2 linked regions of the Bombyx mori genome follow. The protein of the gene in region 2 interacts with the protein of the main gene of each other region in a pairwise test. Links are inferred from orthologs where the notes say so. Each region holds a gene or a part of one and is shown on either strand. Other genes may lie near its edges.

Region 1 (17,109 bases), on a different chromosome or scaffold from region 2:
CCATCTTGAGACAAAGGTTCTAAGATCTCAGTTGCGACAGTACAGCGGCTGCCCCACCCTTCAAACCGAAACGCATTACTGCTTCACGGCAGAAATAGGCAGGGCGGTGGTACCCACCCGTGCGGACTCACAAGAGGTCCTACCACCAGTAAAGAGGTATGGTATGATGGTATCATGGTATGGCGTACCTTGGCGGCCTTGTGCCAGCCTCCGTACTCGCCGTACGGGGCGTTCTCCTTCTGCAAGTGCTTGTTCTCCTCGCGCTCCTCCGCCACTTGCCAGATGGGCTTATTGTCACCTGTCAACAGACACCAGTTAATGACAGACGTCAAATATATACCAGTACAAAAACGACATATAGATTGACTTTTCGCATTAAAAGTGTACAATTCCCAAAAATATTCGAAATTGAGTTAATATGAGGAATCATTTGGTATCATCAGTATTTTTCTCATAAATACTGTCAAAAGAGCGTAATGTAGTTTTAGTTTTTTTAGTGTACCTATGTTTTGACTGCTATTAACAAAATTAATACATAATTGTATCTTACTTTAAAAGACTATGTAACTGGTAAAAAATAAAAAATTAATGTTGCAAAGATGATTAATATTAAAAATATCACATGTTAAACTTTTAAAACACTCTCCTGTAAAATTAGTAAGTTTTTAGATTATACAGTTTTAATGCGAGAAGACGATATTTGATACTAATAATAATTAATTTACGGATGCTTGAAATAAAACGTTTTCAGAATTAACATTAATTGAATAGTAAATAGAAATTTCATTAATTACAAATTAGTAACACTACTGTGGTTAAGAGCGAAGTAGTATAAAATTAATGCAACCACATGATCCTTTTATTAAGATATTAATACAATTATTCTACCCGCCATAACCTTTCTTCTTCTTCCAGACTAAATTAGTGTACCAAATCTTTATTCAGATACTGAAGATTAAATTTTGATGTAATTCATCTTATTTCCCTCCTCCTATTTCTTACATATTAATACATAAAGGCTAGTTCATACTACAATCAAAAGGCCATCAAAGTATCCATCACCCTGTGTTATAAAAACAGATTACAAACTATATGTGACACAAGTCGGGAAGGTGTGACACAATTGGCAACAGCTGACGTTTACAACATAAACAAATAAAAAACAAACAAAAAAAAAAAAAGTAAAAGAATCTACATCCATACAGCCTTTCCTACCTGTGCCACACACAAATCCAAACTTGTGTCACTTACCTAATGTCATATTTTTATCAATCCATTATTGAGCGCACACATGTTTCACAAAAAAACACTTTTTCTTTACATTTCCAGAAAATTGCTTATCTAAAAACATGGCAAAAAATATATATTTTCGTTATCCTATATCACAACAAGAAAATAAAAAGCATTATTGAGCAAACAAAACAACAGACTATAATAATACAACCGTTTAATAAACATATTTAGTTAAATATTAAATCAACAATATTTTTTATTTAATAAAATTTACATACAAAAAATTCAGCGAATATTTTTTTTGGCAAAGCATTTTGGTTTCAACAAATAAACTGATACATAAAATAAACGGTGGTCTTAAGCAACGAAGCAAATAAAATATTTTCAAAACATTAAAAAAAACATCACGATATTTCATATTTATTTACATAACAGTTTTTTTTTTAAATGAAATATGGCAAGCGTTTCATCATCGAAATTTAATAGCTTCTTAAAAGCGATATAAGTCTTTGAGAAATTTATTTCATTAATACATTATCTCAAATTTAATAAAAAAATATTATGTAATGTATGATAATTGAATTCAGAATCATGAATAAATAATATTTAGTTTTAACAAAATTTCGTTTATTTCGACAGAACAAAAAAAAAACCCGATGAGAGATAATTTACTGCGCACCATTTTCTACAAATTTTTCGAAAAGAAGCTTGTATTTTTGCTACTAAATAACAAGCTCTTGAACGAGCGACACTTTCATTTCTATTTCTAGTTCTCAAACATTAACGCATACTACAGAAATCTAACTAATCGTCTTTCTTTAAAAAAGACGGTAGAGACGAAATAACACTTATTACCTGAAGCTATAAAATTGATAAGTGATCAATAGTAGTCAGGAGGGAGATCCTCGTCACAGTTCTGAGGATTGAATATTTCACATTCGCCAAGTTACATTGCGTTACATTGCGGGATTGGAAAACAAATTATTTCTATTGCGGAACCTAGCAACGGTGAGTTAGTTAAAAACAAAGTTCATCTCTAACTATTCTTACATTAAGTACATATCTCATTTATATCATCACGTAGTACGGTCCGAAAATTCATTCCTTCTTTATATTAGAGAATATATGAAATAAATTATTTAAACAATATACTCCAATGATTTTTCTAAGCGACAAGTTTATAACATAATAGGAGTTTCAGATAATAGCTCACACATTTCATTGCATTTCACACGTTTATCTGTAATGTTGGCAACACCGTGTAACAATAATAAAAAAAATTATCCTATACATGAAAGACGGTAGCACATTAAATAATTATAAAAGCAAGAAAAACTAACAAATGCACATAAGAGATCTCATAACACAGACAGAACTCATAAGTCTAACATTGAAATAGCAACATCAGTTTACATCTATAGCCTCTTTTTTTGTATTTTCTTATAATTTCTTATCGAACGACAGCTACCTATCTACCTAAAATAATTGTATACAATAAATAAATAAATGCATAGCGCGAACGGATTCAAGAATAAAATATAGCAACATTGAAACGAGAAAAAATAATATCATTTATGTGGTAACACCGCTATCGACACCCTGTTTTTAAAATCGTGTATTCACCGAGAAGCGTTTCCTTATAATTTATTAGCTTTTAAACGTGGCTTCGCTCGCAGTCATAGTATTTATTTTGGGTACCTTTTACGCAGAAAGTAAATATCCAGGGGTAAAAGGCTATTTGATTTAAGTGAAATTTATCTTGTAATTAAACGTGGGTTTTATTTGGTACTAGCTGACCCGGCAGACTTCGTAGTGCCTCAATCGATAAATAAAAGACCGACAGGGGACACATCAAAGGAAAAACAAAATTGTTATTTTTATTTAATTCCGAGCATTTTCATATTTATCTAACCTTTTAAACCTTCTCTGGAATTCCACAAATTATTCAAGACCAAAATTAGCCAAATCGCTCCAGCCGTTCGCGAGTTTTAGCGAGACTAACGAACAGAAATTCATTTTTATATATAGAGATTAGCATCCACAGTTCGATGTTTTTAATTGAACTTCAATTTAGTTTACTCCATTATTCAAATAGCTGAAGAAGGTATTTTTTGTTATGATATTTTTCCAAATTTAAACTTTAAATGACTCTTCTGTAAATTTTCAAAATTAAAATGTGGTATCGTGGGACACCAGGTAGGAACGAAGTTCCTTCGGCTAATGTAGAATCGACACAATTTGCAAAAAAAAAATCGTACTCAATTTTATGTAGGTTTTCTTGATTTTTCTCTTAAATTTTGCTGATTAGTTTTTATTTAAGTATAGGAAAGTATTTAGGAAATTCAGTATTTTAGGAAATAATAAATTACGTAAAATAGAAAGAGAATGGACGAGAGAACGAAAAGAAAGAGGGAGAAAGAGAAAGGTATTATACACTACTCGCTTGTGTATGCGACTGTCGCGCCTGCGCACGTCTCATATAACGGTTTTATTCCACGCACTTTTTTCCACGGATTTTTTCTTACGGTTTTACTATCACATTTTTTTCAGTTCGGTCGCGCAGCAAAATCCCTATCCCTCCAAGCCTGCCGTAAGGAACTTCGTTCCAAAAATGTCACTTAAACCAAATAACCTTAACACCTCGATATGTAGTCATGATTAAAAAAATTTTTTTGAATTTTCTCATAATGTTTTCACTTTAAGCCGCTTTCAGACTACGCTATAATATAATAGCATGTAGTATATAGCTCATAGCACAACAATATCGCACACCATACATTGTTATGGACATGTTCACACTGTACTGTACTATATATTATTGGCGTAATATACGCTGCTATACTATATGGCACTATAGTACAGCGGAGCGGTCGCGGAACTTTTTTACTTATTACCCCAAAATATTTTTGTGTAATTAACCCATGGCGAAGAACAAAAAAAAAACGAAATCGCTTCTTTTTAGCGTCTTTCATATTATAGCCCCCATGATAATTTTGAAAAAATATATTATTTTTTCGTTTCGTTTCATTTCGTTTCATCGAGTTTGAAATCACAACGATTCTAAAGAAGTTTCACTTCAATATAAACATTTTACTCACAAAAGTTTCATTTTTACCCCCCAAAATTTCATTTTACCCCTGTTCCCCGACTGCTGGTATAGCGTAATCTGAAAGCAGCTTTAGTTTAGACACAAATTCATTCAAACCACTGGATTTAAAGTGAATAAAAGGTAGCAGCTTACCCCGGACTAACACATGAACAGAAAATTGTAAAGAAACTTGTTTCTCAAGGAATTCAAGATAAGAAATCTTCAGCATTTATTATATTTAATATATTCATTATGTTATTAAGGCACAGTTTTATAAGTCATTCTTTTTCCTTTATATATGAATATTGCACGTTGAAAAATGTTCGTATACTAAAATATATTCAATTTCTTATTCGGTAAGACTTTAGCAATCAGTCGAGTTGGGAATGTAGGAAATAGAACGTATAACTCGTTATAAATAATGACCATCGAATTGATTTCATATAAACAGGTGAATATTTAATATGTACATTGTAAATATTTATTTGAATCACGCATAACACTTTTACCTCGGAACGATACCTTAAAGATTAATTAGCTAAGTTCTATGTTCTCTTAGAACGCTTATAGCTACGGGTGCTGGGTTATGTTATTTTTTAGGTTTTTTTAACGATGCTATATATTCTGAAAATGCAAACGAAAATAAATTTTACTAAAATACGAATTATGTGTACATTCTACGTTCATATAAAAATATAAATTTTCAAAATATGCTATAAAATAATAATAAAATATTTTTTGGCAAAAAAAAAACCTTATAAAGTTTAATTATTGGCAGGTGACCGTTGGAGAATAATGATCACTTACCGTCAATGGTTCCGAATTCTCGTTCATGAGCCCGCGTCAACACCTGCTTGTAGAGAGTCTCGGCTTCCTTGTATTTGCCCTGCGAAAGAATTACCCAAATATTATACATTCTTTAATGATTACTCTACTTTAGTGTTAGTTTTTACTGGTGGTAGGACCTCTTGTGAGTCCGCACGGGTAGGTATCACCGCCCTGCCTATTTCTGCCGTGAAGCAGTAATGCGTTTCGGCTTGAAGGGTGGGGCAGCCGTTGTAACTATACTGAGACCTTAGAACTTATATCTCAAGGTGGGTGGCGCATTTACGTTGTAGATGTCTATGGGCTCCAGTAACCACTCAACCCCAGGTGGGCCGTGAGCTCGTCGTCAACCCATCTATGCAATAAAAATAAAATAAAAAACGCAACTCATCTGAAATCATCCAAAATTATTTCTAATTTGTTGTAAGATAGCAAGCACTATACGCATTACAATTATTTTAAGTAAATAGTGATGTTTAGCGTTGATTTAGTGTTTACAAAACAGTTATACAATAAAATACATAAAATGGATATAACAATGTTACATGAGATGACATTAAATAATGTTCAAGTATAGGTCACTTAGACATCGGAGAACTCTAGAAGCAACATTCAGGGAATTTGTTTAAATTTTTTATATTTGAACAAATTCAAAGACACTAAATAGTGAACGAGTGAGTTACTACACATTCAGACCAGTGTGCTTAGTACGAGTTTTTTAACGTTTTCGATAGCGTAAAAGTTAAGTCAAATTTGTATGCAGTTGGAACGTTGCCTACGTTTGCCGCTAGGGGCGCTGTTCCAACTGCATAGAACGTTAAAAACTCGCACTAAGCACACTGGAGACACAATGAATTGACTAATGAACACTAAATCCCACAGCTGCACTGCCGCGGTGTACCGGTAAATAAACAAATGTGTACTCGCCTGTTTGAGATAGCAGGAGGCGAGGTTGTTCTTGGTCTTGGCAACGTTGGGGTCGTCGGGTCCGAGCTTGCTCTCGTAGATCTCGAGCGCGCGCTGGTAGTACTGCTCCACCTCCTCGTACTTGTTCTGGAACGAGCGCGTGACGTGAGAGAGCGTCGGGGGGCGGGGCGGGGGGTTGGGGGCGGGGGCGGACCTGGTTCTGGCAGAGCAGCGCCAGGTTGTTGAGCTGCTTGGCGACGTCGGGGTGGTCGCGGCCCAGCACGGCCTCGCGGATGCACAGCGCGCGCTTGCACAGCGGCTCCGCCTCGCGGTACTTGCCTGCAACCACACACATCCATTACACACGCGCCAACAAACTTAATAGTAAGAAAACAAGTATTAAGTATAAAGGGTTTTAATTATATTAGTTTACTAGAGAGAGTACCCGTTCGCCTTGCCGGGCATTTAAAATTAACATTATTATTATTTCCCTCATAAAGACGCCTAATTATTAACGCCCCTGCAACTGGTGTAGGGAGTCCAACACTTGTATAAATATTAGCCTATCCATTAAGTACATGTATTTTCTACATGGATACCAAGTTTCAATTCAATCGGATGCACGGTTCAGTAGTTATGAACGGAATATCCGTAAAACCACTGTACATTTATATATTAGTATAGATTACAATTTTAGTAGTATTTATTTTAAAAAATATTTTTATTTATTTATTTCTTATGTGGGTGGGCTTACAGCCCCGAGCCAAGGAATCCATAGACATCTACAACGTAAATGCTGCCATGTACCTTGAAGATATGACGGGAACAATTTAACTTTAACCATTTTGAAATGTTGAGCTCTTCCAACTACGCCCTAACTGGTAGGTGAGCTCACGGACTCAACTTGACAAAATTTGCTAACACTGACTCTAGCAAGAGCAGTGCTTTGCAGAATCTACCACCGGATCGGAATCGCAAGGCATTGAGAGGATCCGGCAAGAAACTCAGTGGGTTAAAGTTCTTGTGTCCCCCAAGCTAACGTTGGATGCAGAAGTAGAGAAATCATCACCTCGCTTCCCGTAGAGCACGGCGAGGTTGTTGAGCGTGGCGGCCACGGCGGGGTGGTTCTCGCCGAGGGTCTTCTCCCGGATGGACAGAGCGTCGTTCAGCAGGTTGGCGGCTTCCTTGTATTTGTTTTGGTCTCTACAATACCAAATACAATATGAGTTTTAATGCTAGAGAATAAAATTTCAATTAGTTTGCAGTGTCAGCTTAGAATATTCCCCCGACCACCCCAACCTCTCCCCGTTGGTGTCGTAAAAGGAATCATTAATGTACTCCTGTGTATAACCGATATTCACAGACTACATACAGGCCTTTTAAATTATATATTAAGAAGATTATACAAGCATTTTTTTTTAATTGCTTAGATGGGTGGACTAGCTCACAGCCCACCTGGTGTTAAATGATTACAGATACTCACTTACCTTACTACTTACCTTAGAACATATATCTCAAAGTGGGTGACGGATTTACGTTGTAAATGTCTATGGGCTCCAGTAACCACTTAACATCAGGTGGGCTGTGAGCTCGTTTACCCACCTAAGCAATAAAAAAATCTATTACAGACATAGATTTAGCGAAAAAGAATTTGTAAGCAAAAATTAAAATAGTTTCATTTGACGACCTGTAAACAAGAGCCAGTATGTTCAGCATGGTGGCGACATCGGGATGGTCGTGGCCCGAAGTCTTCTCCAGGTCTTCGAGTGCTTGCTTGCAGAGGGGCACGGCGACCTCGTACCGGCCCTGCGACGCGTACTGTATGACCAGGTTGTGGAGCGTGCGCAGGCGGGCCGGGATCTCGTACCCGGCGTTCACTTGCTGGGCGAAGTGCATCGGCGGCGTCGGCGACATCGCTGTAACATTGTTTACATTGTCGTCTTCTCAAACTTTTTCGTCTGTGTGTTGCATGTCGCGGGACGGTCGGCCGCGGAGTAGGGATAAAGTGAAAAGCGCTCGTCAGAGCAGCCAAGACCAATATGGCGGCGCCTAGAGCTCGCAGCAGCTGACCGTGTAGTGTAAAGACTATTACTCATTTGTACCAGTGCTGCAGTAATGTTACTACAATAGACATAATGAATGCTTATCCGCCACTTTGAGACACGTGAGGCACAAACACAGCATCACTGACAATCTGTGGACTCGTCCGAAGAGGCAGCATTTAAAGCAGTTCCTTACATTTATTATTCCTGTTGTCGTCGTGGTCATCGTCAGGGAACAGCTCGACCATCGGGTCCTCGCGTTTCTTCTCGCCCTGACCTGTACGGTTACTGTCCGACTCTTCGTTTATGTCGCTGTCGTATTTACTGCAACAATCCACAATGAGCTTTCATTCATCAATTCGATTTCAATATTTCTCAATAATAAAATCGTTAGTATTATCGACATTTACGTCGGAGACAAAATCATTTCCATACTACGGAGGGTAGATAAAGGAGACCTTTCTAATATGAGGATTAAACCGACAAAATGCTTAAAACTTAAAAACCGTTTACGAAATGTCCAAATTGGCGCTAGTGAGTCGTCTATTATCAAAGGTGGCAATCTGTGCATTTGGACAAAAAAATGTTATTGATATGTCAATACAGATTGATTTGAATATAATCGTCTCCTTCAAAGAATACGGTTCAAAACCCGCATTAAATAAAGGTTAATACTTAACCTGTTATTTATCTAAGATGTCGTTCAGAAGAGTTTTGTGACTGCCAATGGAATACAAAGTCAATAATTCGTTTTTCTGATTTACCAATAATTGTCCAAAAGTCACATTGCCGGCTTTGATACTAGTCGACTCTAGTATCGCATGAGGATTAGATACGGTAAATTGTCAAATACAAAATTTATAAATGAGTTTAAACGTCGTGGCACGTACATACGTTAATCGCTAACCTATATTAATAATAGAATAAAAACTTTTGTGTGTGACAGACATTTGTCGATACAGAGTTGATTTTGTTATTATCTACCCTTCATGATGTCATAGGGTAACATTAATAATTGTACTCTCGAATCTTTTTCCATTAATTGGAAGTCATTTTGAAAGTGTTTCTTGAATATTTATTTATATTAATAGGCAGAGGACAAAACGGTTTAATAGTTTTTGTTAACCGTATTTTCTCTTTTTTATTCCATAGCTCGGTAGGTTATTCTATGGCAACATACAGCATGATGATAATTTTAAATAATTGTAAATAGACATGCTTTAGATTTAGATATTCCAAAACAATTTAATATACACTAAAAACAATAATCATCGAAATCGGTTGGCGTGATATTGAGTTATTGAGTTATTCATCTATTATGTCGCGCACGTACTTAATGCAAATTTAAGACTTATATGGTTTTCTCATGGGTACCATTATCAGAACTGGACTAAATTGAAATGGGACCACACGGGGAGCGTCAGCTTTCTAATAAAAAAAAGAATCATCAAAATCGATTCACTCAGTCAATATTTCATCCCATATCATTTCATTTAATTTCATCCCAGTTGATCTCAAATTAATCATCTTAATTTTATTTCATTTCATTTCACTCTATATTATCATTTTTCATATAATTAAGAATATAAAAAAAGTAAGATATGACTTAAAGGTCTTAGTTACCAGGTCATAAAATCCTTTAAAAAAATTGTCACAAGTATTTGTAGATTTAATTCTTAATGTACGTTAGTTTTTTGTCTTACCGTATGGAAGCCATGAACTCCAAATGCTTATTCTCCTCCTCCAGCTGTGCTACGCGTTGTTCGGAAGCCTGCAGGTGCTGCTGAGCTGCAGCCAGCTCGTCCCTCAGCCAGGCGTTCTCTTGGCACAGCCTGCGGACCTGCGTGCGGAGTTTTTGCTTCTCTGCCTCGACGGACTGAAGGTGAGATGCCAGAGCCGTCATTACCTGTAGGAAAAGGTATAAAAATGTGGTTAAAAGCTTCTTTTTTTGTCAGGAGGAAAACGCCGGACTTTCGCCCTTCACTGGGGATGGAGGGCGGGGCATGTCGGAGTCGAAGCGACTAAAACCTCCTGTCGCTCAACAACCAGCATGCGAACCTCGCATGAGACAGAGCTTATGGAAAGGCAAAGGGGGGAAAGAGAAGCGTTTAGTGCGGAGCACATCTCTCCCATCACCCTCCCCCTCGGGACGCCGGGCCGGCGGTCGTCGGCGCCACGACCACCAGCCCTCTCGGTCGGCAGGCTATCCAAAGCCCATCTAAGGTTAAAAGCTTAGCATAATTCGTCTTCTCGTATTAAAATTGTATAATCTCAAAACTTACTAATTTTACAGGAGAGTGTAACATGTGATATTTTTTATATTAATCATCTTTGCTACATTTATTTTTAATTTTTTACCAGTTGCATTATCTGTCTTTTAAAGTAAGATAAAATTATGTATTAATTTTGTCAATAGTAGTCAAAAAATAGGTAAACTAAAAAAAAACGCTCTTTTGACAGTATTTATAGGAAAAATACTGGTGATACCAAATGATTCCGCATATTAACTCAATATTTTAGAAAATTGTACACTTTTAATGCGAAAAGACGAATTATGTATAACTAGTGGTCCCCCAGTAGTCGAAATTCGACTATAATTAATTGAAATTTTAAGTTTGAACATTATTTGGGTTCTATTGTCGAAGACTATTTTACTCTAAAACCCAGATTACGCCAAGACTTGTTATTGATGTGTATTTTTAATCCATAATTTAAATAAATATTTACATTCTGCACTCCTTCTCTATATTCTCTATAAGTGAAGAAAATTTCATACTCCTCCTCCGTCCGCGCAATTACGTCGTAAAAAGGGATACAAAGTTTTTGCTTCACCTACTATTAAATATAGATAAAATAATATCAGAGGATCAGCCCTGTACTTCCTCCGAGATTATACCCTAAATGCCAATGAAATACCTTTTAATTATAATAAGATACTGAAGTGTATCAGTAAAAACTTTTCTCACTTGATATCCTTTCTCAAAAATATTTAAGTACTGCAGTCAACTTTTTATTTTTACTGCTTAGATGGGTGGACGGCCTCACAGCTCACCTGGTGTTAAGTGGTTACTGGAGCCCATAGACATCTACAACGTAAATGTGCCACCCACCTTGAGATATAAGTTCAAAGGTCTCAAGTATAGTTTCAACGGCTGCCCAGCCTAACAAACCGAAACGCATTACTGCTTCACGGCAGAAATAGGCAGGGTAGTACCTACCCGCGTGGACTTTTAAGAGGTCCTACCACCAGTAATTACGCAAATTATAATTTTGCGGGTTAACTCCATATTTTTTCTCTTTGGTTTAATTTCATGAAGGTTAACATCACTCATTTTATCTACTTAGAAGGACGCTTAGAGTGTTGTCAAAGTTATAAGATATATTAACTGCTGGCTGCAGAAGCATTCGATGGGAATTCGAACAAAACCGTCTTCGGTTCCTGCACAGCAACAGCAAATAACTTTAGTCGATGCTCAGACCTGTTTCTCTGGGTTTGTTAAATATAACTCGATACGCGAGACAGTTGGCAATGATATTTCTAGAATTAGGTTCATTACGGAAACGGAACGATTCTCGATCGATTTTTAAAAATATTTTTTATAGTTCTTTAAAAAACTGAGCATTTAGAGACACGAGCCCATTGCATTGGATGAATGAACGACCTTTTAGCTCATTTGCTGTGAAATAGTTGTCGGAGCTCATGGAAATCGCAACGTTAATGTTCTCAACCTCTTTGAGTCATGAGGTTCAATTCCGACGTAACCTAAGACCTTTCGATTACAAAGTACGTAGGATACCATTCGAACTCTTGATTGTATTCAATTCAGTATACATAAGAAGGTACGATCTTCAAGCACTAGAGATTTCGACCTTGCCTCTAGGTCAAGGACAATAACCTTGAATGGCAACGGGTTGTCGTGATACAGTCGTCGTGGCCTAAAGGATAAGACGTCCGGTGCATACTTGTTGAGCGATGCACCGGTGTTCGAATCTCAGGCAGGTACCAATTTTTCTAATGAAATACGTACTCAACGAATGTTCACGATTGACTTCCACGGTGAAGGAATAACATCGTGTAATAAAAATCAAACCCGCAAAATTATAATTTGCGTAATTACTGGTGGTAGGACCTCTTGTGAATACGCACGGGTAGGTACCACCACCCTGCCTATTTCTGCCGTGAAGCAGTAATGCGTTTCGGTTTGAAGGGTGGGGCAGCCGTTGTAACTATACTTGAGACCTTAGAACTTATATCTCAAGGTAGGTGGTGCATTTACGTTGTAGATGTCTATGGGCTCCAGTAACCACTTAACACCAGGTGGGCTGTGAGCTCGTCCACCCATCTATGCAATAAAAAAAAGTCACTGGATAAATATTAATGTTCAGTATGATCAACTTAATATTATAATAAGGAATACTTTCGTAAGGTTTAACGAGTCGTGGTCAATCGAAAATTCTTTTATTAACCGACTTCAAATAAAAAGAGAACGAGGTTCTCAATTCAGAGTGTTATCTTTTTTGATGCGTTCGTTCCATTTTTTGGTTTTAAAACCCCGATGAATGGTTTGTTATAGCTTGACGAACATAGAAGTAAGGAAAACTACATAGCTTGTTGTTTTTATTTACAGTTGAAGCACCGAGCTGTCAACCCTCCTTGGGTTAGATTACGTTAGATTTTTACGAAATATAGACGAACTTTTACCGTAACCTTTTTAGAATGATCGTGGTAAGCTTTTTACCAATGAAGTTTAGCTGAAGCGTCGAGATCCGCTGCTAAAATTGGTCACCCTTAGTTGTGGCTTATGAAAAATTATTTGTACTAATAACAGGATGGCAGCGGTCAATAGTTTTTTTTTTTTTTGAGAGGAAAGATAACCTGGCTCAGTGGCCTTTTTTGCCAGGACAGGTAGGTAGGCGAGAAAAGGCTCAGCCAGGAAGGAGGAGATTTGCTAACAGCTGCTTGAATGCCTACGGAGAAAATCTAACAACTCAAGGGCAGCTGCTTCACGAAAGAAGCTGCCACCGGATAGGAATCACGACCCGCTGAGAAGATCCGGCGAGAAACTCAGCGAGTTGGTCAATAATATCGACGCAACATTTATACGAAAATAAAAACATTTTAATTTCTTATCAATGACGATGGAAAGAAATCGAAAACTGCTAAACTATAATAATATGGGGCTCGTGGTGCCCATCTATGACCATGGTTTCTTCAGAAAGTTTAAGCTATAGCTTTGCCCGTTTACCATGTTATCGACCAGAAAATGGTTCAGTAATCGAAGCGGTTTTATGTACAATATTACCCACTTAAAAGAATTTCGTTGATTATTATTAGCTGGAGATTTGAAACACGCAAACATAAAAAAACAGAATTATTAACAATTCATTTTACTTCGCTGGAGCTTCAGAATGTAAATTGATATGTAATATCTTTTTTATTATTATCTACTGTTTAATGTAATTTGTACCTTGATATATCCATATCTACCATACAACAGATTCCATTCACTGCCAGTCTGGCAGAATTGTTTTTACTGGCGGTAGGACCTCTTGTGAGTCCGCACGGCTAGGTACCACCACCCTGCTGATTTCTGCCGTGAAGCAGTAATGCGTTTCGGTCTGAAGGGTGGGGCAACCGTTGTAACTATACTGAGACCTTAGAACTTATATCTCAAGGTGGGTGGCGCATTTACTTTGTAAATGTCTATGGGCTGCAGTAACCACTTAACACCAGGTGGGCTGTGAGCTCGTCCACCCATCTATGTAATAAAAAAATACAGTAACGTAGGAGGAACTTTTAAACCACTAAAAAGGGATTTAAAAAAAATGCACGAATTTTTCCAACTTCCGTCTGTGGTACTAATATAGTCCTCTCCTAATTTAGCTTCGTCTTGTCTATCTTGGTACAATACCTTTATATTTCTGAAGCATTATGTATATCGGTCGAAACGTCGGGTTAGTGTTTAACGGCCACAAAACAATTACACACTTTATTATAATAAATTCCCGAGGGCTATTGTACCAAAAACTTTAGAGCAAAATTAAATTTAAAAGTAATTTAATAACGAGGGCTCATTAGACAGTTAACGACTATGTTAATGACGAAAGTACGTAGAATTTATGCTCCACATGGCCACAGCACGAACAGATCTTGTGCCAGAGATAATTAACTCAGAAGTTTCTTCAAGTTCAAGTCATCTTTATTGAACGTACCTATTTAATAATACAGTGCAACCTAACAAATTCCCGAGGGCTATTTCACCAAAAACTTTAGAACATAATTAAATTTAAAAGTAATTTAATAACGAGGGCTCATTAGACAGTTAACGACTATGTTAATGACGAAAGTACGTAGAATTTATGCTCCACATGGCCACAGCACGAACAGATCTTGTGCCAGAGATAATTAACTCAGAAGTTTCTTCAAGTTCAAGTCATCTTTATTGAACGTACCTATTTAATAATACAGTGCAACCTAACAAATTCCCGAGGGCTATTTCACCAAAAACTTTAGAACATAATTAAATTTAAAAGTAATTTAATAACGAGGGCTCATTAGACAGTTAACGACTATGTTAATGACGAAAGTACGTAGAATTTATGCTCCACATGGCCACAGCACGAACAGATCTTGTGCCAGAGATAATTAACTCAGAAGTTTCTTCAAGTTCAAGTCATCTTTATTGCACGTACCTATTTAATAATACAGTGCAACCTCGATATAACAAATCGGTAGGGAACAAGTAAATATTCGTTATATCTAGCAATTCGGTAAACTGAGGTTTGTTATATTAAGGTTAGGTTGGTCTACCATTTGTTATAACGAGGTAAAAAAAAAATTTATTTTATTTACTTCAACATTACATACTCATCTTACTAATCACTTTCAACTTACTATCAACTTTTACTAATAAATGATAACACATTTCTATCAAATTACTGTATGTTTTTTTCTACTTAAAAACCATTAGGTAGGTAACATTTTTTCTCAAACCTTTCGAGACCGATTTACACACTATGGGAATAAGGGTCATATTGTTGGGAACGTTATATGAAGGTTTTGAGTTTACAAAATTCGTTATAAAGAGGTTGTTCGCAATGTAAAGGCATATTTTACATTGACTCTTATGAATAATTCAAGGGGATAACGAATTTGTTTAATCGGGGACGTCGTTATATTGAGGTTCGTTTTTTTTGTTTATTTTTTCGCACATGAGTGAACGAGCTCACAGCGCACCTGGTGTTAAGTGGTGATCGGAGCCCATAGACATCTACAACGTAAATACCGCCACCCACCTTGAGTTCTAAGGTCTCAGTATAGTTAGAACGGCTGCCCCACCCTTCAAACCGAACCGCATTACTGCTTCACGGCAGAAATAGGCAGGGTGGTGGTACCTACCCGTGCGGACTCACAAGAGGTCCTACCACCAGTAAATTACCACCGTTATATTAAGGTTGCACAGTATATTGTAAATTTTGTGCGTCAAGTACCTATATAAATTTGGCAAAGAGCAAACCCTGACTTTCTTGCCGATTCTTTTCAGCGGCGAAACTGTATTCCGAATCGTTGATAAAGTTATTACGATTTAAAAGCAACAGTGAAAGAGTACTTCAATAAAAAAAATCATCATTTTAAATTCTGAATTAAAAAAAAAACTCATTTCTTTTCAATCTGTACGATTGAATGTAATCTGTGACACAAAAAAGCTTCAGTTTTAAAGCCCATTTCGGTAGAGCGCGACCTAAATGACGTTCCATTTAAAAGCTACCAGCCCAGTACACTACGCATTGAAAGGAACTAGGGTAGTGTATGCAGCACGCCTTAAGGCTGTGGTCTTTGAAATAGTGACATCGTAAAGTCGGTGTGGATCGCTTCGAAATATGATACGTCATAACTGACTATCGCACTATATTTTCTATTAACATATCGAGCGTTGAAATGCTATTAGATTTATTTAAATAGCAACATTGAAACGAGAAAAGTAATATCATTTATATGGTAACACCGATATCGACATTCGGTTTTTAAAATCGTGTATTCACCGAGAAACATTTCCTTATAATTTATTAGCTTTTAAATGCGGCTTCGCTCGCGGGTATACTGCTTGTTTTGGGTACATTTCACGCAGAAAGAAAATAAATACTGTGAGGTGAAATGCTATTCGGTTTAAGCGACATTCCGCTTAATACGCAACATTTATCTTTGTAACTAAAGGTGCGTTTTATTTGATATTAGCATCAATAACTCGACCTTTTTAATTGAACTTCAATTAAGCTTACTCCGTTCAAATAGCTGAAGAAGTTTATTAGTTATGGTTTTTTTTCAAATTTTAAGCTTTAAATGGCTCTTCTGTAATATTGCAAAAATATCGCAATAACCAAAATTAAATAGTCATTCACCCTTTTTTATTGCTTACGTGGACGATGGACGATCTCACAGCCCACTTGGTTTTAAGTGGTTACTGGAGCTCATAGACATGCCATAGAAATGCGCCACCCACCTTGAGATATAAGTACTAAGGTCTCAGTATAGTTACAACGGCTGCCCCACCCTTCAAACCGAAACGCATTACTGCTTCACGGCAGAAATAGGCAGGGTGGTGTGGTACCTACCCGTGCGTACTCACAAGAGGTCCTACCACCAGTAATTACGCAAATTATAATTTTGCGGGTTAGATTTTTTATTACACGATGTTATTCCTTCACCGTGCAAGTCAATCGTGAACATTTGTTAAGTACGTATTTCATTAGAAAAATTGGTATCCACCTGCGGGATCTGCGGGATCCGAACACTGTTGCATCGCTCGATACGAATGCACCTGACGTCTTATCCTTTAGACCACGACGACTTTAATACGATATAATCATTAATTAAAAAACACGAGAATGGTAATGACAGTATTTTCTGTTGCTAGTTAATGCCACACCGCTGATCAGCAAAAATATTTAACCGGTGTTTAGTGATGAGATGGCTCTCACAGATTTGCTTAGTTTGAACGTCGTCTTTAAAAACTA
Region 2 (17,109 bases):
AGTCATGAGCCAATACTGAGTGAAATCCCACTGTCCATCTGCAAGTCGGGCAAATATAGCTACCGTTCCATCAGCGAGAGCGACCACGCAACGAGAAGCACACGACACTATGGCCAATATAGCATCGTTCAGTTTGATCCTGTTAAATAATAAATACACATCTATACTAATATATAAATCTACAGTGGTTTTTACGGATGTTCCGTTATAACTACTGAACCGTACATCCGATTGACTTGAAACTTGGTATCCATCTAGAAAATACATGTACTTAATGGATAGGCTAATATTTATATGAGTGTTGGACTCCCTACATCAGTTGCGGGGGCGTTAATGATGAGAATCTTTGTGGGGGTGAGAAATATTAATGTTAATTTTAAATGCCCAGCGAAGCGGACGGGTACAGCTAGTAATCGATAATTTTTTAAACATACAACGTACAATAACAATGATACGTAGCTCGGGTATCTTTGAACGTTCTTTTTTTATTATATGATAATTTAAGTCGACAATTACTTAATGTGAAAATCGCGAGAAAGGTTCTGATTTAGTACCATTAAACTACTACACATGTCGCCATTTACCATATAACAAATAGATATTTTAATATAGTTCAGCGATAGCAACAAGGCATTGTTGTATTAATATAGTACTGGTGAATAAGATACTCGAAAGTCGACTATAATTAATTGAAATTATAAGTTTGAGACTATTATGAAACTTCTATAATCACAGATTTCGCCAAGACATATATAGACAAATAATATTCATCTATTCTCAATTTGAGCGCAGACTAACAAAAGTTTGACAATAAACATAATAATATGTATGTGTTGTGTCAAATACATGGTAGTGTGTGTGATGTTTTTATTTATTGATTAAATGTAATTTTATTAAATATTATATATTCCCTATAAGTGTGGGAAATTTCATACTACTCGGTCCGGGCAATTTTCCTAAAAAGTGGCACAGAGTTTTTGCTTCACATATTAATCAATATATAGATAACTCAATTACTATTGAATTTATCAATTTATGTTAAAGTAACATATCCGATGTACGTACCTTGCCAAGCACTTGCTGTAGTTTCCCATTGCGGAATGTACGTATAGGTTTCCGTTTTTGGTTCCTAGCCACATCGTCGCCATCACGGTGGACATCTTTCGGTCCGGTACATCGCCGCGGTTCTCGACGTTCGATTGTTCCTGTGCGAACGCGTCCAATCCGGGCTCCGGTGAACTGACCGATGGCTCCGTTACTGTAACAATATTTTTTTTAAATATCAAAGGTCGAAGGAATTATACTAATGAACATCGACGCTTGAAAGGTAAACGTGACTAAGCGACAATATCTGCTTTGTACATAAATGATAGGCAATAACCATATTCGATGCCCAAAAAAAAATATTTCTAGGTCTATTAAAATCATTTCAAGCCTACAGCTAGATTCGTTAAAATATAATTTTTTCAGGTATTTCAACTTTAAATAAGTTTACTGTAAAGTTCACGCATTGTCGCTCAGTCACGTTTGCCTTTCAAGCGTCGATATAATGAAGTCGTCGTGGCCTAAAGGATAACACGTCCGGTGCATTCGTGTTGAGCGATGCACCGGTGTTCGAATCTCGCAGGCGGGTATCAATTTTTCTAGTGAAATACGTACTCAACAAATGTTCTCGATTGACTGACCACGGTGAAGGAATAACATCGTGTAATAAAAATCAAACCCGCAAATTTTAATTGCGTAATTTCTGGTGGTAGGACCTCTTGTGAGTCCGCGCGGGTAGGTACCACCACCCTGCCTATTTCTTCCGTGAAGCAGTAATGTGTTTCGGTTTGAAGGGTGGGGCAGCCGTTGTAATTATACTGAGATCTTAGAACTTATATCTCAAGATGGGTGGCGCATTTACGTCGTAGATGTCTATGAGCTCCAGTAACCACTTAACACCAGGTGGGCTGTGAGCTCGTCCACCCATCAAAGCAATAAAAAAAAGTGAAGGTGAATATTTAGATTTTTCTTACCATTATTAGGAGTGGAGCTTAGTGGCGGACTGTCATGACCGTCGTTCTCTGCTTCGTCTTCAACATTCTTGACCATCGATTCTTTGGGATTCTCGTCATTATCAGCAGCTGGTTCTTCTGGCTCCTTCACGGGAGTACTCGGTGGAGTTAGAAGGGTTGCCTTTATCTACGAAAATTGAGAATTTTATTATTACTGTCTGTAACTATACTTAACTTAGCTTTTTAATTAATCGTATATGAGTCGACTATTATCAAAGCCGGCAATCTGACTTTTGGACAATGATTGGTAAATCATAAAAACGAATTATTGTCTTTGTATTCCATTGGTCAGTCACAAAACTCTTCGGAACGACATCTTAGATAAATAACAGGTTAAGTATTAACCTTTATTTAATGCAGGTTTTGAACCGTATTCTTTGAAGGAGACGATTATATTCAAATCAATCTGTATTGACATATCAATAACATTTTTTTGTCCAAATGCACAGATTGCCACCTTTGATAATAGACGACTCATATATACCAAATAAATTTACCAATTTAGTAGTTCCAATTACAGTTTCGTTTTCAGTGTTCTCCGTGTTCGTGTCCTCGACGGGGCCATTAGGTTGGCTCTCCACAGACTCACTCTTTCCCACGCATAACAACGACTGGCGAAAAAAAAAACAAATTAAATACACGGGTCCTTCCAATTTCGAAAATTAAATAAAACGTTGTTTTAATTAATGTAGATTAAACTGCCACCTTCTTCAGTGGTTCGCCCGCACTAATAGACGACACGGCGTGAAAGTAGCTACTACAAAAATATATACAATACGAGCTTAAAGTGTCAATAGTATCAGAATAATCGGCAGGAAAAAAGTGTTAGACTTTGAAATTTTGCTTTTTTTTTTATTGCTTAGATGAGTGGACGAGCTGACAGCCCACCTGGTGTTAAGTGGTTACTGGAACCCATAGACATCTACAACGTAAATGCGCCACCCATCTTGAGACATAAGTTCTAAGGTCTCAAGTATAGTTACCTACAACAGCTGCCCTACCCTTCAAACCGAAACGCATTACTGTTTCACGGCAGAAATAGGCAGGGTGGTGGTACCTATCCGCGCGGACTCACAAGAGGTCCTACCACCAGTATAATGTTCGATGCGATCCAATTTTGCGTCCGAGTACTAAGACCAAAGCCAAGTATTACCGAATGACGCTTCGTTTCGGTGTCCCCAGACATTCGTTCTTCGTAATCTTGATAATCTTCTGAAGTGGCACCAGGCACTGAAGCTACACAGAGAATATGCTTATCGCTCACTGAAAAGGATTCGATCACGTCCGCCGGATTGTTCGCATCGATGATCTAATCAGAATAAAGAACACTTTTAATATATGATTTAATGGTGTAAGTGCAAGGGAAACCTATGATAGATGCTCTAATAATGAACAAAAAAGCTATACGTTTTAGCCACTAAAAGCTCCCTCTTCCTATGGAAACGTTGATTTGTGTTTATATAATTTTAAATGTATTATTAGGAATATGGGTACATCTAAGAAAACGTTACAGGATTCGATTTTTAAAAATTTGAGTCTGAGCATTGTAAATTTATAAATCGTTTTAATAATTAAATTATAAATATTCGTTTTTTTCTCTACCTACGCTGATAGCCTTGAGAAGCCATTTCAGCTTCGCCTTAACGTGTAGATGAGCTCACGGGGCTCAAACCTGACGACGTTGCTAACACGAACCCTAGCAACAGCCGTGCTTCGCAGAATCTACCACCGGATCGGAAACGCGACCCACTGAGAAGATCCGGCGAGAAACTCAATGGTCTGTGTCTGTGGGTTAATTTACTCGTCGAGCCCTTCGTCGCAAGCGACGAGTTCGACAAGGACGGTAACCGGTGCTTGTGGTACCTAAAAGCACCGTTAACGTATCGGGAGGATCCGAAATGAATATTCGTTAATAAATATACATATGTCTATTGGTACACTCTGAGCAATGGTTGAATCAATTTAAGGGTGTGTTATTGAACGATGTATTAACATTCGATTATTTCATGATTTTTTTAAAATCTAAATTTAATTACCATAACCACTCCTTTAGCCTGTGTACTAGCACATATCCAAACCAACGAGGACAGATTCTTTTCAGTGTACTCCACGCTCTGAGTTGACTGCAGCTGTCTGCTGATCTGCTCGACCTCCGGAGAATGCGCTGACTGCGCTTTGCTCATCTCGTAGGCTGTAATTTTTTTTTGGAAATAGAGTTATGTCATTTTTAATACGCTTTTATTAGCTTCAGAAGTATGTATGTTATCATGTAACAGAATCTTTAAACATAACTTTGACCCCCTTCAAAACGTCGGATTAACTCGAAATTTGGTATACTTATTAAGGACCGATGAAAATTCAATATTTAAAAAAACATTGAAAAAATTTAAATTCTACTAAAAAATTAAAAATAAATAATAGTTTAAAAAAACTAACAAAATCATTCAATACAATCAAACAATAAAATAATTTTTAGTTATCCTATTTTTAATTCAAGATTATTAAAATTATTCTTTACCAATAGGCACTTTTCAAATGTCACCTCCTGCTTCGAGAGGTGATGTTTAAAGTCAGTTTATTTTATTACAAACATATTATTTTGTTATCGTGACGCTGTTCGTTAATGCATTTTTTTAAAATAGTTCTGGGCCCTTGCTTTTTGAACTTCCACACCATAGACTTTATAGCAATATTTAGCAAAGCGCGCGATTTTCGTGCAATCAATGAAAAGCGCTTTTATACGGCCAAACTAAAGGTAAATTGTTAAGGGCACTCTTAAACATCCACAATGCCAGAGGCTTGGTTCCTTGGCGACCTCTACTCTTTCTTAGCAGACGGACGACGGAATCTCAAACACTTCCTCCGACCTCTACTCTAGAAAATACGATAAAAAAACTCAAGACGGAATCAGTCTCACTTTTGACCGAGATATACCATTCAAATCTTAACTGACTTTATTATACGTACCTAAGGACATATTGTTCTCCGTCTTATCGTCTTCATTTGCGTAGAAAACGCTCTCACCAATCATGCAGCCTCCATCCGGAGTCCTACCTCCGTTCAGGTTTACGCCGGCCGCACACAGCAGAGTCATACGCGGCTCACTCTCCGCTATCGGGCTATTACAAAATGTTTGTGTTTAAATAATTTTACAATGCAAGACCTAGAGGGAGATATGACAGAACTTCCACAGACACAGCCCACTGAGTTTCTCGCCGGATCTTCTCAGTGGGTCGCGTTTCCGAACCGATGGTAGATTCTACGAAGCACTGCTCTTGCTAGGGTCAGTGTTAGCACCACTCCGGTTTGAGCCCCGTGAGCTCACCTACATGTTAGGGCGAAGCTGAAATAGCCTCTTAAGGCTATCAGCATAGGTAGGGAAAAAAGACAGAACCAAAGCGTTAAAAATCAGAAAACAACAGGTTATTTGTAAAAATGAGTTCAAAGGGGTTATTTAAAATGCTACTTTTTTTACAATATTTCAACTTTGGTTTTGATATATATTATCAAAATTTGATTGAAATGATCGAATTTCTTTATAATTTTAACAACTCGATCAATTATATTAAAATTGGTCAAAAAACTTTGACATAATTTATAATTAATTATGTACGGCAACTTTATGGCCTGCCTAGTATGAAATTATTACATGAGCCTCTAGACATAACAACGTGGACACTGCCTTATATTTTGAGGCATAAGTTCGAAATCTCCGATTGTTTTTAATAACGACTACTCACCTTACCAACCGGGCACGTGATTGTGTCGAAGTTAAAAACAAACAAAAACATTTTGATCTTAATAACTCCCTTCGTTATTTCAGATTGGGTTATTTCAATTAGAAAACAATCGATTATACACCCAATATACTAGTGTCTATAAGTGAGATAATCATTTGTGCCGATCAGTATGCGAGTGTTACAAGTCGGCTTTCCCTTTCATATCCTCAATGTGAACGGCGGCATTTACGTTATCATATCTATGTGTTGCGATAAGATTAAAAATCGCGTGCTATACAAAAAAAAAAACATTACCGACAAAAAACCGGAACTGGTACCGGAACTCCCCCCGACGACAGGGACGCTGAGGGGCTCGGTCCCTTCTGTCCCTGGCTGTTCTTCCCCGGGAGACTCCAACCGTAAGCGTGCGTGCGCCCGTCTTCCTTACGCACATGTACCCGCACCTACACCCCACCACTCGGTTTGGTAACAACATCGTAACGGACATGAACGTCTTGAGGAAGAACATGTCAATTCGATTTAATTATAATATAAAAACAACTTATTCATGTGTGTTTATCAAATTATTTTATATCTCTATCTGTATACACGGTAATGACACGCTATTCATGGCTGTTTTATTCAATGAATAACATTCGAAATTCAAGAGGTATTACACTCTTTTAATTAAAGTATATTACATCGCTATAAAAGTTATCAGTGACATCTCAAAACTTGTGTACATAGTGTTACATAACACAAAACGAAATTGACAAGGCACATGATAGATAGTGGAGCCAATTATAATAGCAAGAGCGCAAAATAAAAATAAAAAAACACAAATACTAAAAATAACAACTTTATTTCATCAAACATCACAAAACGACGAACGTAAGAATAAAGCAACTACATTAAAATAGCAGTTATAACGTAAATTAAAATATGCTAAATGACACTTTACAAGATACTATCCTACATCACTATTTCATCATATCACTGTTCGTTTGAACATTAAATTCATTTAAAATTGAGGCCGTCATTCATTTGGCTGCAAACAAAAGAAAGGTAAAGGAGATTACGTACAGGAAAAGGGTAAAAAGAAATAAATAAAAAGACGAGTAGGTACGTCGAAAACGTACAAGAAGAGATTAAACCAACAGAAGCGAGCGTAAGAGGAAATATATAATTTGATGCAGAGCTACATATGGACATTGCATGCGTATTCAACGACTCTGACAGTGCACAGATATAACGGAACGTCAATATCAATGTATGGGAATGTTAATATTGTAAAATAATCTAAAAAACACGTGTGCAACTAAATTATTAGGTTCTTTGGCACGACACTCAATCGAAAGCGAGCTAGTAGAAGAATATGAAGTCTGTATTCGAATCTAAATCAATGTACACAAAAATTATGCAATGAGGAAAGGAACCAAAGCGCAATCAATACATTCAAAAGACCAAGCGAAGATAAGCAATAATGAAATATAACAAACAGCAATATTAAGTACAAAATAAATATAATCGGGCCAAGTATTATGTTTGTCTCATTTGGTCTAGCGATTTCTTTTTGTCTATAGAAATTTTTTTCTGTCATATTCTGGATAGTTTTATTCATTTAATTATATATTGTGTATATATATATATATATATAATATATTATTTTTACTAATTTCAAAGTTTGATCAACGTAGAACTGCGTATCAAAACAGAAATATCGTAACATAATATTGCCGTTAATGTTTTCAACACAACCAAGGTTATGTTGACTTTTTAAATCGAAAAAAGTTTTTTATAAGTTTAATATTGTTTATCGTATTTGATTATATATTTTATATTCGTGTTACGCATATTCAACATAACAATGTAACAAAATAAAAAGTCAACAAAACAATGAATAAACTAAAATGTGCCTGTCTATATCTGTTAAACATTTCTTATAAAAGTTTATCTTACCTGTCGGAATTGTTCGGTTCTCTCGTGTCGCTTCTGGTGGTGGTCGGAAAGCTGCGCCTCCAAGAAGTCGCCTTGGGTTTGTGAATGTCTCATCGTAGGCTGTGAGGCGGCCACGGCTCTTAGATGAGGAGTGGAAAGCGGTCTTTGTGGACGATCGTTCGAACTGTAAATTCCACAATATTACAACATTAAACTCCTATCTGTTTAAGGTCTATCAAAAAAATAATACACATATAGCTCGCTCTGCGCTACACGCTCAAAATTAAAACATCATTAACAAACATTCATTAAAACATTGATCGTGCAATGCGATTCCAATTTAATTAACTAAACTTTCAAATTGACAAACAACGACGCGTTTAAATTGAAGCACTAAACATATAATTTCCTAGAGCTTAAGAATTACTACAATTATCTAATGATCAACTATAAAAGTTAATGAAAATAAATGAAAATAAATGAAATAAAAGAATTACGCAAGACGCATAACTAACTAAATGTATGTTATAAAGGTAGGAAAAGGAATTTAGGAGTAGAATAGTTTTACAACGAGAAATAACAGTAAGCATACAAACAAATTGATTGAATATCTACTGAGCTAACTTACCATTGTACAATCGTCACGTGAAAACTAAAAGCTTTAATAATATATGAAACCAGATTTTCTTTCAAAGGTTCTTATTTAAATCATGAGATGAAAAAAGTTTGAGGCAGTCTTAGGGTATCTAAAAACAAACTTGATCAATTACAAAGCAGAGTCATTAAGTTCGAAATGTTCTCAAGGCGATAAGTATAAGCATTCGAATTTTCGATTAAAAAAATTAAACATAAATTCAAAACACATAACCTGACAAATCGCTAGGACTATTTAACCCTAATCTGACTAATTATGTAATATAAATAATAAGATTTTATTTAAAACAAAACCGTCGCTGGTTCAATTCCCTTCAGTAATGTAACTAGTACCGCTAGTATAATTTTGTAAATATTTTTAAATCTTCTCCTCTTTTTATTGTATTTTCAGCTATTCTCTCTCTAGGCTCACTAGGCTCTTCTCGTAATACCAGACCTCGAAAAAATTACAAAAAAAACATACACATAATAAACACTTTAAGGGGCGATTATAATCATTATCAGGGCCTCATTATAATCATCAGCGTCATATCAAACATATGAAGTATAGCACGTATTTACATACGTTCATTAACATCATTAATGACTATTATAGTCCACTGTTGGACATATGCCTCTAGTCTCCATCTACTGCCCGGACATCCTACTCACTTCCTATACTACGTTTACCGATTTGCTAATCTTTATATATTATATAATTCTACTGTATATGTGTATGTCACTGAACTCCTCCTAAGCGGCTTTGAATGATTTTTTTTGTATTCGCTTGCTTGGGTTGCGCTTTAGATGGTTCAGAGTCACAAATTGGCTCGACAGATGGCGCTGCAGTCGGTATTTAGGTTATTTATCTACACTGCAACTAAACAGCTGGATCGGCTTGAATGAATTTATGTGTATGCATTACAGGACAACGTAGTCGGATCCGCTAGTTACGTATATAAATACAAAATCATAATTTTATTTTTATGCCTTGACATTAGAAAGAATAAAGTTCAATTTTCAAGGTTTTTCGATTTTTTGTAGTCGTCGTTGCCTAACGGATAAGACGTCCGGTGCATTCGTGTTGAAGCGATGCACCGGTGTTCGAATCCCGCAGGCGGGTACCAATTTTTCAAATGAAATACGTACTCAACAAATGTTTACGATTGACTTCCACGGTGAAGGAATAACATCGTGTAATAAAAATGAAACCCGCAAAATTATAATTTGCGTAATTACTGATGGTAGGATCTCTTGTGAGTCCGCACGGGTAGGTACCACCGCCCAGCCTATTTCTGCCGTGAAGCAGTGATGCGTTTCGGTTTGAAGGGTGGGGCAGCCGTCGTTACTATACTTGAGACCTTACAACTTGTATCTCAAGGTGGGTGGCGCATTTACGTTGTGGATGTCTATGGGCTCCAGTAACCACTTAACACCAGGTGGGCTGTGAGCTCGTCCAACCATATAAGCAATTAAAAAAAAAAATAGGCTTCTGATGTCAAGATGCGTTCACTCTCTCGATACCATAAATACCTTCCAGAGATAATGCAGCTTTTGTAACACCATGTATAAAGTTCGCATTAGCAATAAATTCGCTTTATGTATAAACAATTTAATACATTCGCAAATTAGCCATGAAATACAATTAACAGAAAGGTTGATTGTGTTAATGGGCATATTATTTAATAGATTTAATTTCATTGATCAGCGCCTGTTATTAAAACTACAAGAACTCCTTCAATAACGTGAATCGCGGTAACAACATTTTCACGATACATTTGCACAGATATAAATTCTGAAAAAATCCAATTTGGATTTGGTATATCGGGGTATAAACATTACGCGTTCAGTAGATGACCTTCAATTTAAAGAAATATTCTGGCCGTTTGTTAATTTCTAGAAAAATCTACTATTTTATAGTCGAACATAGTATAGTCTAAGTGATTTTTAGTAAATCCAGAACAAAGCGTTCATAGAATGTTCTATTACACTCACTGACAGCTTATGAAGACATTTCATAATATTACATAACATTTTTATTAATACTTAGCCATTAACATAATAAACCTTCCTAAAAATGACAAAATCCAATTTACTTTATACATAACTATTATTCACTTCTGCGAGATTTTATAATTTGATAAATTAAATAATTTCCATGGACTTCATTATGAGCTTAAAGCCAGACGTTTCATGTGTCTGCTCGTCTAAATTAGTGAATTTCATCTTCACATTCGCGGGCTGTATTTGAATCGTAACCGAAAATAGTAGTAAAGTTAGTCTGATTTTCTAACAAGACTATAAAAAACATTTTCACAGAACTACAGAACACACAGACTGGCGAAGTCCACTGCTGTCACTGAGAAAGGTTAATAAATAGGAAATAATGAACCACAAGTATAATTCAGTTCAGAAAAAACTACACTTTAGTACGTCGTTCTCCAAACGTGATCTAATAAATGCGAGAAAGAAATACCTGTGCAAACGCGGGAGCACCTTCGACATTCTTCGGACTCAGACGACTGAAAACTTATCTCCGCGTACAATTTGATTCGAACGTACCTGAATAGTTTACTAAAAAAAGTCCATATGCTCTGCTTGCTCTTCTTGTCGATGGAGTTGTCCACGCGACTGGCACGAACCATCTCGGTCCAGCGAACGGCATCTTGAAGCTCCATTAATCGTTCCTTTAAAAAATACGACAACTCTTATTAGTTTTAATAGGTTTGAAGGGTAGAGCAGCTGTTGTAACTATACTGAGATCTTAGAACTTATATCTCGAAAGGTGGGTGGCGCATTTACGTTGTAAATGTCTATGGGGCTCCAGTAACCACTTAGCACCAGGTGGGCTGTGAGCTCGTCCACTCATCTAAGCAATAAAAAATAAAAACGTTATTAATTCAAACATTAGTCTGATGAACAGGTTGGTTTGCTCTTTGTCTAGGCGTTCATTATCTATATATGTAAATATTTAAACATATATAAGTACCTATATATTAATAGGTGAAGCAAAAACTTTGTATCAATTTTTACGAAAATTGCGTGGATGAATGAGTATGAAATTTCCCACACTTATACAGAATATAGAGAAGGAGTGCAGAATGCTATTTTTTTTTAATTATGCGTTAATAATACATTAAATCAATAAATAAAAACACACATATATGTATACTCTATGTTTATTGTCAAACTTTTGTTGCTTAGAGTCTGTGGTGAAATTGAGAATAGGTTAATATTTATTTGTCTATAGTGTAGTCTTGGCGAAATCTGTGAATAAAGAAATATAATAGTCTTTGAAAATAGAATCATAATAGTGTACAAACTTATAATTTCAATTAATTATCGTCGAGTTTCAACTACCGGGGGACCACTAGTAATAATAATAACACACAACACAGGGAATTCTAAATTGGGACTGAATTTGGATCCCGTCGTTATTATTATTATTATTCATGAATTTAACTTCGCTAGATAATTCCCGGGGGCATTGTCAATTATGTAACTAGTTCACTTCGACTTTTTATACTTGACTTAATAAATTCATTCATAGAAAAAGTATTGCAACGAACAAACAAACCTAACCTATTCTTATTTGTCATTTTATTGTGTGATGAAATTGACCGTAACCAATATTTTGAAATAAATATTAAAAATTGTGTTTTTGAATCAAGTTATTCCAAAAACAGCTATATGTAAAAACTTTTTTTTCTGTAATATAGGATACTAAGTCTTTTGAGTTAGTGTAGTGTTTTTTTCTAATTCGAAATAGTTATAGTGATAGTGACGTCACTAAACAACAGATGAACAAAGTAATTAGACTTAATAGACACTCAAGTAAGGTCAGAGGGTTTTAGCCTAAGAGACATTAATTAAAATATGACCTAGTTTACGTTAAATTAAAATTACTGATTAGTTTTATCGAACTGGGTTGTAATCCGAGTATTACGCCGCATCTAGGTTATGGTACATTACATAAATAAATAAAATACTAGTATACAAAAACATCGTCTTTCACAATCAAATCCATATTTTCGTATGGAATATTGCTTATGACAAAACGCATACAGTAACGTTAGCTCCAAATTAGAACCTTTTTTTAAGGCATATGTGTAAGTAATAATTGCGGGACATTACAAGGCGTAAAATCGTGTCGAATTATAATGGTCACGACCCTCAGCAGTGAGGAAACGACGCGAGGAGAAGGAGGAGTGTAAGTAAATATTATAAGTCACCTTTGAATTGGCGTATAGAAGACAAATCACAATACTACATGTTCATGTCGGTTGATAGTTATATTAAAAACTGATTGGGTAAAGTCATTCACTTTGTACATTTGTGATAAAGAACGAGGTCAGCTTTCGTTGAAACTATCTTCCGCGCCCAAAGTCAAACAACTAGCTTTCCGTTCTTATTGGTTAAAGTAATGATTGTGTTTATACGAAGCCATTTTATAGGTTTACATATTAGAATAGGGTACAAGCTCACGGCCCACCTAGCGTTAAGCACTTACTGGAGCTCCTAGACACCGAAATGTGAATATCGCCCTACCAATCTTGAGACATTAGGTACTTTACACGATTATTTTTTTACGAGTTTAATTTTTATTACGTAATGTTATTCATTCATCGCGGAAGCCATTCGCGAGCATGACCTAAATAACGTTGGTTATTTAAATTAAATTCAAAAAAAATTGTACCTGTCTGCGGGATTCGAACATCGGCCCTGTTGCATCCCTCGATACGAGTGCACCGACCGTCTTATCTTTTAGGGTACAACTACTTTAAAGCATTTGCGTGTACCTTATATTGGTTACGTTCCATGAGGACACGTGCCATCTCGACGCGCGTGAAGCGGCGTCTCTGCGCCAACGGGACGTCGGCTTCCTCCTCGTTGTCCCCACCGCCGGCGTTGTTGCTCATCGCCTCCTTTAAATCACAAAGTCAATAATTAATAAATGAAGTTTTCATGAAATACTTAATTTACTGATTGTAAGGCAACGCTACAGTGTGTAGAATGCAACTTATAGATGAGCTGTCGACATCAGACAATATTGAACCTTAAGCGCATAATTGTTAACCAGTTTTTTATTTTTTTATTGCATAGTTGGGTGGACGAGCTCACAGCCATCCTGATGTTAAGTCGTCACCGGAGCCCGTAGACATCTACAACGTAAATATCGCCACCCACCTTGAGATATGAATTCTAAGGTCTCAGTACAGTTACAAAGGCTGCCCCACCCTTCAAACCGAAACGCATTACTGCTTCACAGTAGAAATAGGCAGAGTGGCGGTACCTACCCGGTATTTTACCTCCATATACAATTTTATGAAAACCCTAAAATTTGATAGGAGTAAGTTACGTCGACGAGAAAAGACAAACTAAGTGGTCGATCACACCTACCCGTTAGTCAGAACCACCGGCATGCTTATATTTGAAGTGCTGGACCACCGTAAATGCACGTGGAAAAAAATCGCGCAACTAGTTGTCAGAGAAATTAGTCTTCAAACTAAATAAGAGTTTCAGAAATGAAAGTACCGCCGTAAGAACAAATGATTTTATTGTAAAAATCGTGGTGTGCTTTTCAGGATATTATCAAAATAACCTTTCTACTCATATCTGTTCATAGAATATTTATAACTACCATGCACCTCACGCATTTTTTTTACAATAAAGTCATTTTTTCTTACTCTATTTTTAATTTAAATTTACTAACATTTATTTTCTATTTTTTAGTCGGATTTTCTATAAAAGCGTATTTTGTTAGTTGTTTTTAAACTATTATTTATTTTTCATTTTTTAGTTGAATTAAAATTTTTTCAATATTTTTTTAATATTGAATTGACATCGGTCCAACTTTTATCCGACGTTTTGAACGGGGTCAAAATCATGTTCAAAGATTCCGTTACATACATACGTCTGAAGCTAATAAAAGCGTATTAAAAATAAATACCTTCAAACGTCGCAATTCATCCTCCAATTGAGTCACCCGATCTCTAAGTTTCTCTCGCGCCGAACTTAGATTGGCCACTTCTTCTCGAAGCATCTCCTGTTCGCCGGTCAACTCGTCCACCTTCACTATAAGGTCGTCCTTGACAACGTTCAAAGCGTTCTTCGTGGCCAATAATTCGTTGTTCTCCAGTATCAAGTTTTCGACTTCTTTCCCCATGCCTTCCGGAAATCGTTTATTCAATTAATAAAAGTAAACAGATAACAATAATATAATACAAAATTAGAAATTATTTAATGAACGTTTATAAATGACCACTTTACATAATGTTCCGTGACGTGAATAAACAAACTGAATTGCAAATGATACATTAGTTTAGTACAACGCATGATCAAACAATATTAGTTAATGCGATTCGATTTAATGGTAATTGTTATAGAAGCAGTAACCTTTTTTATATGGCTTCTTTCAGAGCCTTTTTACTGGAAATGGACATACTACAAAAAACATATACAATACAACAACATACGTTGTTATCAAGCAGTATACCTTTTTTTTAAAAGCTTAATGGATTTCGATATATTATTAAATTTGCACTAGGTTTTATGGCGTTTGGAATACGAAGCCACGCGTATTGGGTAGACAGATAGCTGATGACGTCATGAGCTCATTGTGCAATGACCGGTGCGATGCCGCGGTTCACGCAGCGCCGCGGCGTAATGTGTGAGATTATTAATACACATTCCATGATTATATTATTAGTTAAACGACTAACAGAAGCGGGACATGTTATTGTTTGACCATAATTATGTTAATTTAATTAGAGAAAGCTGTTAAAATTTATATAGAACTTTAATGTTTACGATAAAATAGTTTGCATGTTACTTACCAAAGTAGTTATCGTTAACTGCAATGCGTTGATGCATTTTTTTTTTGTTAGAACGCATGGAAAGAACGAACACAGAATTAGTGTTGTATTACATAGTTTACAGTAAAAGGTAAGGGACCGCTCACACACTACGCCAATTAGACACTAGATGCGGTTAGAAATTTAAATGTAATTAAAAAATATATATTGCGTTAAATTAACTCATGTCAAACAATTTTCGTACAACTACAATTAGATAAATGTAGAAATGAAAAAATACTAATAAAACTGTGTCAATTTTATTATGGCGAAGTGTGTGATCGGATGAATAAAAGAAAGAAAAAGATTTGTTTAAATAATAAAAAAAAACACCAAACTAAATATATAAAAAAAGAAACATAATAATACTAGACTATAAAGCTTTTAGCTTGTAATGCGTCCCGATATCTATAGTTTTTTTTAAATATATTTATGTACACATAAGTAATCATCATGAATAAAATTGAAAACGTTACTACTACGTTATATCTATTGATATAAATACTGCGCCTATCGTGAGGTTTCTCACTGAAGCTTTAACCGAGTCGTACAGTGTGCTTAATGGTAGTTTTTTAACGTTCTCGATAGCGTAAAAGTTTAATCAAATTTGTATGGAATTGGAACAGCGCCTCTAGCGGCAAACGTAGGGAAACGTTCCAACTTCATACATATATGAGTTAACTTTTACGCTATCGAGAGCGTTAAAAAATTCGCACTAACAACACTGTACCATCACTCGGTTAAAACTGGCACACTGAACAAAATTTATACCAGGATCTATTATAGGTATTATATTATATTATTTTACAACATTTCGAATGATTAAACAGAGATGAGATTATTTCATTTGGAACAACGCTATCCTTCATCAGCAAATTTTTTTGGTATTTTCACTTGCTTTATAAGTAGCCGTGTAAAATACATATCTTAAACCGTACTGATTCATGTGTACATTAACACCTTTAATGTTTCGAACTTGACTACTTCCTGAGAAGAGTTGATATTTACAGCAGATAAATTGATCTTCACAACAGATAATTATAATTTGTTATTTTAGTTATGTGTTATTTGTTCTACACACACACTTCACTTTTTATTATTATTCTCATTATCCTCTCGCAGGTCTGCTGGAAGAGATTTCTTAAAGAAATAAGCAGTGCCTTTGTACATAATTTTCCTATTACTCTGTACTATGTCTTCTTTTCTGTGTGTACATAAATAAAAAAAAATAAAAAAATGCCTCTATACATGTTGATTTTAAACATTTATTTTTATATTTTCTTTGTTAAGTTCTCCATTTAATTACGTTTTTGTTTTGTTAGACGAATCTTGTCTGGATCAGAATTAAGTATATTCTTTAATGGAGGAGTACATAGTATTGGCCGGCACGTGAGATTTGTATCGAAGTGTAAAGTGCACTTTTCCGCTCACGTCAACTTTGCTTGCTTCTCATAGATTTATAAATGATTTAAACAAAATAATTTACAGGAAGAAAGAAAACAATCGAACATATCTGCGTCCGAACAGAAATAGAAAGAGAGTGAGCGAGATAGAGAGAGAGAAAGACATTGCTACTACAACTCAAGCTACAAATTTCAAGCAGTACTACAAAATGTATTGAGTGAATTGAATGATTATTATGTCACATAGTACGCTATAAAGCAGTTAATTGTAGAGGGAACATATTTTCGCACAGCCACGAATTGAGTGCGATCATTTTCCGTGATATTCACGACGTTATGGTGATCAATTAATGACATCCTTCGCTTTATTTCAGAAAATATTCGAAGTTTATTAAATATATTTGTATTGAGTGATATTTTACTTGTAAATTTTACTATAATGTATTCTTCTCAACAATATGATTACTTAAGTGTACGGAGTCTAGTAAAACGGTTCTTTGTTTTT

Evidence for each region.
Region 1: the proteins of JNK-interacting protein 3 (region 2) and kinesin light chain interact in binary tests that used the Caenorhabditis elegans proteins (3 or more experiments, as listed by UniProt). The link is inferred for Bombyx mori from reciprocal best matches to the Caenorhabditis elegans genes unc-16 and klc-2.

What each region holds. Positions count from the first base shown.
Region 1 is NC_085124.1:2,405,000-2,422,108, forward strand, and holds part of kinesin light chain, read right to left. Parts: intron 10,001-17,109; coding exon 9,798-10,000; intron 8,419-9,797; coding exon 8,291-8,418; intron 7,969-8,290; coding exon 7,740-7,968; intron 7,256-7,739; coding exon 7,122-7,255; intron 6,392-7,121; coding exon 6,267-6,391; intron 6,200-6,266; coding exon 6,074-6,199; intron 5,208-6,073; coding exon 5,129-5,207; intron 4,946-5,128; coding exon of another isoform or gene 4,911-4,945; exon of another isoform or gene 1,431-4,910; intron 299-1,430; coding exon 189-298; intron 1-188. UniProt on the Caenorhabditis elegans protein: Kinesin is a microtubule-associated force-producing protein that may play a role in organelle transport. The light chain may function in coupling of cargo to the heavy chain or in the modulation of its ATPase activity.
Region 2 is NC_085107.1:5,309,392-5,326,500, forward strand, and holds part of JNK-interacting protein 3, read right to left. Parts: intron 15,202-17,109; coding exon 15,184-15,201; intron 14,516-15,183; coding exon 14,298-14,515; intron 13,273-14,297; coding exon 13,147-13,272; intron 11,035-13,146; coding exon 10,910-11,034; intron 7,899-10,909; coding exon 7,736-7,898; intron 6,241-7,735; coding exon 6,092-6,240; intron 5,177-6,091; coding exon 5,025-5,176; intron 4,249-5,024; coding exon 4,094-4,248; intron 3,367-4,093; coding exon 3,211-3,366; intron 2,669-3,210; coding exon 2,555-2,668; intron 2,185-2,554; coding exon 2,019-2,184; intron 1,259-2,018; coding exon 1,066-1,258; intron 140-1,065; coding exon 1-139. UniProt on the Caenorhabditis elegans protein: The JNK-interacting protein (JIP) group of scaffold proteins selectively mediates JNK signaling by aggregating specific components of the MAPK cascade to form a functional JNK signaling module.